Nothobranchius furzeri: one gene and its partner. The protein of the gene in region 1 interacts with the protein of each later gene in a pairwise test. Links are inferred from orthologs where the notes say so. Each region holds a gene or a part of one and is shown in the gene's direction. Other genes may lie near its edges. The genes, in order: lemd3 and smad9.

Region 1 (3,543 bases):
CCTGGTTCTTCCTCAGGACCGGTGAGTACCAGCCGTACCTCCTTGTGTCCCCTGTGTCGTCGTGTTTGTTCTCACTCAGCAGACTGAGCTCATCTACCTGGTTCCGTTTTTATTATTAATAATGATAAAAATAATTATTTTAAACCCTCAGAACCAGGTGGTCCAGTAGATCTGGTCCTGGTCAGGGTTTCCTAGACTCTGGTTTTGTTGGACCCACCTGTTAAAGTTCAAACCCGTTCACAATACACCTCATTTAATCAGATGTAAGAGTGATCATCTTTTTTTATTAACTTTCTGAACATCTTGCTGAGTTCTGAACATTAAAACCATTTTAGAAACTAGGGACTGGTTCTGTGGCCCAATCCAGTCCTACCGCTCCAAGAGGAGCAGGACCCATTTCAGTCATATCTCAGAACTCTTGTGTGAAAAGGCTTTGGGTCTTTTGGTTCAGACCAGGCCCAACAGAAGGGAGGAGAGGAGGACCAGTAGAACCAGCTCCTGTTCAACCAGGCGACCTGAACATGAAGCGCTTAGACAAGTTTCCTGTTTCACTTTTTGTATGACCCAACGGGACCACGTTCAAGAACTTTCTGCTGGAGCGGACCCCTGAATGACGGGGGAAAAAACTGAATAACTACAGAACATTTAGGTCCTGCTGAGCAGCAGAAACGGTGCGTTGACCTTTTGGAGGATGTGTCAGGAATGTGTTTGCTTTACAGGAAGAGGATGAAGAAGGTCTGGGAGCGGGCCGTGAGATTTCTTTCAGCCAATGAGTCGAGGATTCGAACGGAGAATCAGAGGATTGATGGAGCAGATTTCCTGGTGTGGAGGTGGATCCAGCCTTCTCTCAGTTGTGACAAATCCAAAGGATGGCAGGGAAAAGGTGACTCATTCAAATCCTAATGGTGGTTCCTTTGGTTACATCTCTATGTTGTCATGTGTTTGGGGGTGAGCAGCACTTTGGGTTGGTTCTGGTTCTTGTTCTTTGGTTGTTTCCTGCAGGAACCATGTTTGTTACTGATGCCATAGTCTGCTCGACGCAGCAGACCCGAGAGCCTCAGCTCAGGGCAACATGAGCAGCTGAGATAATCGGAAGATCGTTGTGTGTTGTTAAAGCTCGTCCTTGTTTCCAGCTTTCCCTTTGGACCGGAGGAATTCCCCTCCCAACAGCCTCACTCCATGTCTGAAGATAAGGAATATGTTTGACCCGGTCATGTGAGTTCATTTCCACCTTCACTTTGTTCTTGTTTTGACTTTGGATTCTCACACGTGGTTTTAATTCATAATTATTTCATTTTACTGTGTTCAGCGAGGTTGGAGATCACTGGGATTTAGCCATTCAAGAAGCCATCCTGGAGAAGTGCAGTGACAACGATGGTATTGTTCATGTTGCTGTTGACAAGAACTCACGTGAGGTATGAGTGAGACACAGTCATTCCTAATGTCCTAAAGAGGTCCGATGGGCCCTACGTCTCCCAACATTTCTTATACAGGCTCATGTGGTCCACCTGAAATGTCCTGAAGACACCCGTTTGGCTCCACATATAGTAATGCGATGCTCTTGTCTCCACAGGGGTGTGTGTATATGAAGTGTCTATCTCCAGAACACTCAGGGAAAGCCTTCAAAGCTCTCCACGGCTCCTGGTTTGATGGTAAACCAAACGCGTCTGATGTTCTATTTAGATATCACATGTAGGGTTATCAATCTGACTTAAGAGGATTGGGGGGGGGGGGGGGGGGGGGGGGGATGGGGTCTCTAGTCTCACTGGCCTCATTGATCCTTTCAGCTCGTTTCTGGGCTGATGTGTTAAAATGCTGCCACCACATAATATTTGATGCACAGGCTGATAAATCTATACCCAAGGACCAGCAGATCACCAGTAAGAGACTGGTGATCTGCTCACTTAAAGCCACTTTATATCTCTGGGGATCAACACACCCAGACTCCCGCCCTCTTCTGCCACCTGAGTTCCTGTAGTTTTTTTTAGGTTGAACCTGATCAAACCTGCTCACTAATCAGGGATCAGACAGAGGATCATAACACTCATCCTCTCTGGAAAGGTTTACTGTAGGATGTTGAAACGGAAGCTCAGAGCAAACCTCAAACCTAGGCCCGGAGGTCTCTGGTCAGGATGCTTGGTGACTTGTTGGAAACTCTTCAGGCTCTGTTCTTTAGCTCCGGTCTGGTTTAAAACCGGTCCTGTGAGATTGATTCAAAGTATAACTATGAAAATAAAAACAATCAGCAGGGATTAAGCCCCTCCCACATCTATAAGCACACCTGTGTGAATATGTAGCTGGTTTTTCTGGTTTTAACATTTGAATATATTTCTCCATCTTGGTGTCACATTAGACTTTATTTAGATTTAATTATTTATTTTAGTTGCTTTCTATTTCCTGCAGAGTGAAACTGTTTTGGCAGAACGTGTTCTGGTTGAGATATTTGATCTTTGTGAGGCAGCTCAGTTTTCTCAAGTTCTGCTTTTGCTCCACAGGTAAGCTGGTGACGGTTAAATACCTGCGTCTGGACCGGTACCACCAGCGCTTCCCACAGGCCCAGGGCTGCAGCACGCCCCTGAAGGCCTCCAGCCTCCACCAGAACAGCACGAACGCTGCAGCTTACCATCAACAGCACGAGTCAGTCAGCTCTTCCAGCTTCTCCTGAGACATCTGCTGTTCTGCTTTTTTCCTCCCAGAACTCTGCTGCTGGGCCCACTCACTATTTTAATACCTTCAGGACTTTTGCTCCTGCTATTGGATTATTATTATTTTTATTCCACACTGCGGATACGAAAGAGAAGCAGCAGAGTGGAGCACGTTCTGTTATAACATATAAACTGTATATTTCAAGTGTCAGAATAAAATCTTTGAGTATTTTATCTGTTTGTAGACCAATCCTCTCTCCTCTTCCACAGTTCAACCCACTGGGTTTGCTTCTGTTAGTTACAGAGTCAGACACATCGGTCTCACGTGGAAGTTGTTTTTAAACTGTTAAAATCAAAACTTTCTGCTCTTAATGCAGTTAGAAGCACAAGCTTTATCAGAACACACACACACATACACACACTAAAATCAGAACAACCACTGAAGCTGGAAGACTCGACCTTGTTTTCGTTTTATTTCCTTTATTCCAGCTTTCTTTGAACACCGATTGAGATCCTACAGAGCTCATGTTTTCCAGTCACATGAAGCCTTTAAACTAATTCTAATGTAATTCCAAGTTCTATTGTCCAGGATTTATGTAACTTACCCTCTTTCCTTGAGTTGTTCATCTTAAATGTGATGTTTTTACTTTCGTGTGTGTGCATGTGACCTCCAGGTTGCAGGAATCCTCACCCATAAGTTCTTATTCATCATGACGCCACCTGAGTCGGTCTCCGCTGCTGCTGTGATCAGTTCCCACTTTTATTAAAAAGAAAGTTTTATTAATAAATCCAGGGCAAGGACTGGAGGCATAAATAACTTCCTGTTTGTGTTTGAGCTTGTGAAACAGCAACTTGAGTTATTTTAATGCAGTGAATAAAAACCTGGATTTAGGTTTTG
Region 2 (4,452 bases), on another chromosome or scaffold:
AGTGAACCGGTCCAAACCTCTACAGACTGGAAGCCTCCACGGTGACGCTGCTGCGCACTTGTTATCATAACAAAGGTAAAGCTGTCTCACATTTATTATGAAAAATATAACATGTTATAGACTTACATATTTGGGAAATATCAGATTGTTGTCGTTATATACATACATATATACATACATACATATATATATATATATATATATATATATATATATATATATATATATATATATATATATATTGTGTGTGTGTGTGTGTGTGTGTGCGCGCGCTTTTTTCATAATTAAGTGCAGTTAAATATGGTTAAATATACTTTATAACATACAATATTTCGAAATTATAAATTGCCCGTGTTTTCTCGTGAATCTCATGAAACTTTGGAAATAAGAATTACAATGTTGATTTTGGATGGTTTTTTCATGTTTATGATGACCGCCAAGGCGTGAGAATAAAGAGTCTAGAGCCGGACCTGGGTTTTGCCTCAGCATCATGACTGGATGCAGTGATAGTAAAAGGAAGCTGGCGTGTTTACTTTTTTGGGATGGGGTGTTCTGGTGATAAAGCATTAGGTAATTAGCCTATCTGAGGCTGCAGACTGAATGACGCCAGGCTCCATAAAGCAGCAGCGGCAGCGACTGAGTGATGCAGCTTTTTGTCGTCATTGTTAAAACCTCCTCAGCTGTCTGCCTGTCTCAGGAGCTAGTGCTTCTCACATTTCCAACACAAACAAGGTACGACCCATGAGAGCGTAGTGATTGAACTTATTCTAACATTTTTTCTTATCTATGTAAAAAGCTTTTCAAAAGTCAGTTTCAGCTGCAGAAAAACATAATTATAAAGATGCATAATGAGCAAAAGGAGGGCGTCTGCTGGCAGGAGGGAAGTGATGATGTGCAAAAGTATGTTTTCTTTGAGCATAAACTACATTTAAGGAAGATAAACAAGTTCTAAACTTCAATTTGTGTCTTGAACCTTTCCTGCATGAGTATTTAGGAAATCAAGAGGTGGTTTTTGATGATACTTTTGAACCTCTTTCCAGGTATTTGGGTAATATTTAGTCCAGTAAGACACAAACACAAGCCCTGTGTCTGTCTCCCTCCCTGTCTCCCCCTCCTGCTCTGTGATGTGTTCTGGCCAGACAGTATGGCTCCTGGGCGTCAGTGGCATGATCATAGAAACAGAGGCCAGAAAGGACATTCCTCATTGTTGGGGAATGAGCTTGGCCATCTTGGCCTGCACTTTTTGACGCAAGTTTTGTTTTGCATTTCATTTTCCCCTTAGAGAAAAATAATGTTGTTCAGCATGTGAGGGGGTTGGGTGGGGGGGCGATCTTATGCAGGCGCTCTGTGTATTCCTCCTGCTTGCTGTAGATTCTGGTTCTGAGGTGTTTAGTCTCATCTCTTCAGGTCTGACCTCAAGGTCTTTCTGCTATCCAACCTCCCATCCCACCGTTCCCCAGTGTATTTGTTGAGGTTAATAGTGTCTCATGTCTTTTGCCAGATGACTGAAACTTGACCCGGATTCCTGGCGATGTGAGGAGTACCCATCCCTGCAGGAGGCTCTGAAATCCCAAGCCGCTGATCCCTTCTGTGCCAACACAGAGAAAGGATTTAGGGTTTGCACAGCTCTGGCTGGAGTTCAACTCCCTCGCCAGAGCTGCTCGGAAGTTACAGCGGAATACAAAAGGAAGAGGAAAAAAACTTTACACAAAGCCATCAAGCTTTTTCTTTGCTTCTTCTTAGTGGTGGCTACTCATCGGTTGCCTCTTCACCCCTGTCCCCAAGGGAACTATTATCTCTTTAACCAGACCTATCAGCTCATTTAGCCACCTGTTTACTCATCTCAAAATGAACTCCTCCACCTCCATCACGTCGTTGTTCTCCTTCACCAGTCCGGCGGTGAAGCGCCTGCTCGGTTGGAAGCAAGGTGATGAGGAGGAGAAGTGGGCAGAGAAGGCTGTGGATTCTTTAGTGAAAAAACTAAAGAAGAAGAAGGGTGCGATGGAGGAGCTGGAGCGGGCCCTCAGCTGTCCTGGGCAGCCCAGTGAGTGTGTTTACATGATTACCCTAACATAAGGGAGTGCGGTGTTCAGAAGGGTATTCCATTTTTGTGTGTTTTATGATTTTAATTTAAACTTGGGATATTTGTAAGTTAATGGAAGACTTCCAAATTTATGAAATATTGTAATCAAACTACTGCTCTAGAAACAAATAGTATCCAGATGCTTTTTGACCCTGAACAAAATGAAGTGGACATAGAAAATAAAGTTGTTTCCATTTTTATGTGAATTTGACTTTAAAAAGCAACATTTAGTTAGATAGAATATTTAGATGTGAGTGAATTATTAGGGATTTTATCTCAAAGGTTTTTATTAGATCAAATACCACCTAAAATAACAGACTCCCATATTCATCAAAATGGTTTCTTTTTGTTTTTATTTCTCCTAACTTCTCTGATTACAGATTCCTGTATATCCATTTTAATTCAAAGTTGTTTGCCACATTGAAAACTTGTTTTCCTGGCCTTGTGTAGCTAAAAGGAGAAGATTTTTTTTTGTATAGCAGGAGCTCTTGCCACCTGGATAAGGGAGTCAAAGGCAAAGTAAGACTTCGAGTGTGTGGTACACGCGTGTGCAAATAATTGCTGAATTGAGACAGGGAGCATTGCGTTATAGACCATAATGCATGCCGGGATGCTGGTCGCTGTAATACTTAAAAAAAAAAAACCTTTAACAACTTTCAAACAACCAAACAATCATCTGAAATAAATTTACATTTGTTGCTGCTTTGTGTAAAAGTTTCAGAGCATCAACTAATCGTCCTAAAATGAACTATTTCATTAGAAAATACATATTTTCAGAAATGTAACTTGAGCCTTTTGTCTTACAGCAATGGATTGTGGGTAATACCCTTCACCCAAGTCTGCATCAATGACTCAAGGGTGCAAAAGGGGCGTGACCAACTTCCGCATTTGAGAGGGCACCCTATGCACTAGCACCCCTGGTCATGATTTTCCAATAGGGCACAAGCGTGGAAGTGCGAGTATTGGGATTGGGCCATGTACTCTCTGGCAATTGAGCACTCCTTCAAACAACAATAGATTTAAAGCCACACTAGATCAGATTCCCTACTTCTCCCTCCTACTGGTTGAAAGTGGAATTACAACGGTCGTAAACAACTCTGCCGCAGCCTGCTGTGGCACTAACAATGAGCTAACACTAAAATGGGCCAACTGATACTAAATAAGCCACTAAGTAAAAAGATCCACATTGTTGGACCAAAAATGTCCTTACTCACAAGTTCAGTAGCAACAAAGCCAGGTCACCATCAGTCTGTGACTTCATAGTATCCTTCAGATCCCTCAAACTAATGTAGGCCACACCGATGTTCACTCTGGTTTTAGCTCTTTGCTTTACCTTAAAAGACATTACTCTTACTTTTACTTCCAGACTCGGCCATGATGCCAACGGAAGAGCAATATTTTCTTTTTTTTTCTTGATGGTCAGCAAACTGAAAAAGCTAACTGCCAGCATTTATATTAGCAACGGTCAATGTAAACAGCCATAAAGCAGGTAGAGAGCTCCCCCTAGTGCACCTACCTGTGCCACAAAAGTGTTACGCTGTTCAGTGAACACTTGGTCTAGTTTCTGCTTCAAGAATCACTGAAACCAGTTTGAAAGCAGTAGCTTAAAGTGATAAAAACTCTTAAGTGTTGCTTTAAAGTTTTGTTGATGATTTTGATGCCTCAGGTAAATGTGTTACCATTCCACGATCACTGGACGGAAGGCTGCAGGTGTCCCATAGGAAGGGTCTGCCCCATGTGATCTACTGCAGGGTGTGGCGCTGGCCAGACCTCCAGTCCCACCATGAGCTGAAGGCCCTCGAATGCTGCGAGTTTCCCTTCGGCTCCAAGCAGAAAGACATCTGCGTCAATCCCTACCACTACAGACGAGTAGAGACTCCAGGTATTTAGATATTATTTCTAAATTTCTTATGTTTTGTTCTTGAGTCTTAAGTTTTTATTTATTGTCTCCCGTTCTTTAGTGCTTCCACCAGTTCTTGTTCCACGTCACAGTGAGTACAACCCGCAGCACAGTTTACTGGCCAAGTTTAGAAGTGCCTCCTTGAACAACGAGCCACTGATGCCCCAGAACGCCACCTACCCAGACTCCTTCCCTCCACTGCCCTGCTCCTCCTTCTCCTCTTCATCACCGGCTTCATCCCTCGCCCAGTCGCCCACCTCGCAGAGTTTCCCCAACTCCCCCAGCAGCTCTGCAGAGCCTGGTAGTCCATATCACGTAACAGGTAAGAATCAAAGGTTCAAGATGTGTTGATTTGGACGCTGATGAATGTGTGTCCTTTACTTTTTATGTGATTTGCTTTTCCAGCTGAGACTCCTCCTCCTCCCTACAGCATGATGGAGACTAATTCCCAAGATGACGTTAAGCCAAA

Evidence for each region.
Region 2: the proteins of lemd3 (region 1) and smad9 interact in binary tests that used the Homo sapiens proteins (3 or more experiments, as listed by UniProt). The link is inferred for Nothobranchius furzeri from reciprocal best matches to the Homo sapiens genes LEMD3 and SMAD9.

The regions. Positions count from the first base shown.
Region 1 is NC_091741.1:64,250,770-64,254,312, reverse strand, and holds the end of lemd3 (inner nuclear membrane protein Man1), read left to right. Parts: coding exon 1-21; intron 22-719; coding exon 720-883; intron 884-1,133; coding exon 1,134-1,215; intron 1,216-1,309; coding exon 1,310-1,415; intron 1,416-1,573; coding exon 1,574-1,652; intron 1,653-2,495; coding exon 2,496-2,665; 3' UTR 2,666-2,879; downstream 2,880-3,543.
Region 2 is NC_091750.1:62,624,770-62,629,221, reverse strand, and holds the start of smad9 (mothers against decapentaplegic homolog 9), read left to right. Parts: upstream 1-1,631; 5' UTR 1,632-1,848; coding exon 1,849-2,044; intron 2,045-3,749; coding exon 3,750-3,965; intron 3,966-4,044; coding exon 4,045-4,305; intron 4,306-4,388; coding exon 4,389-4,452. UniProt on the Homo sapiens protein: Transcriptional modulator activated by BMP (bone morphogenetic proteins) type 1 receptor kinase. SMAD9 is a receptor-regulated SMAD (R-SMAD).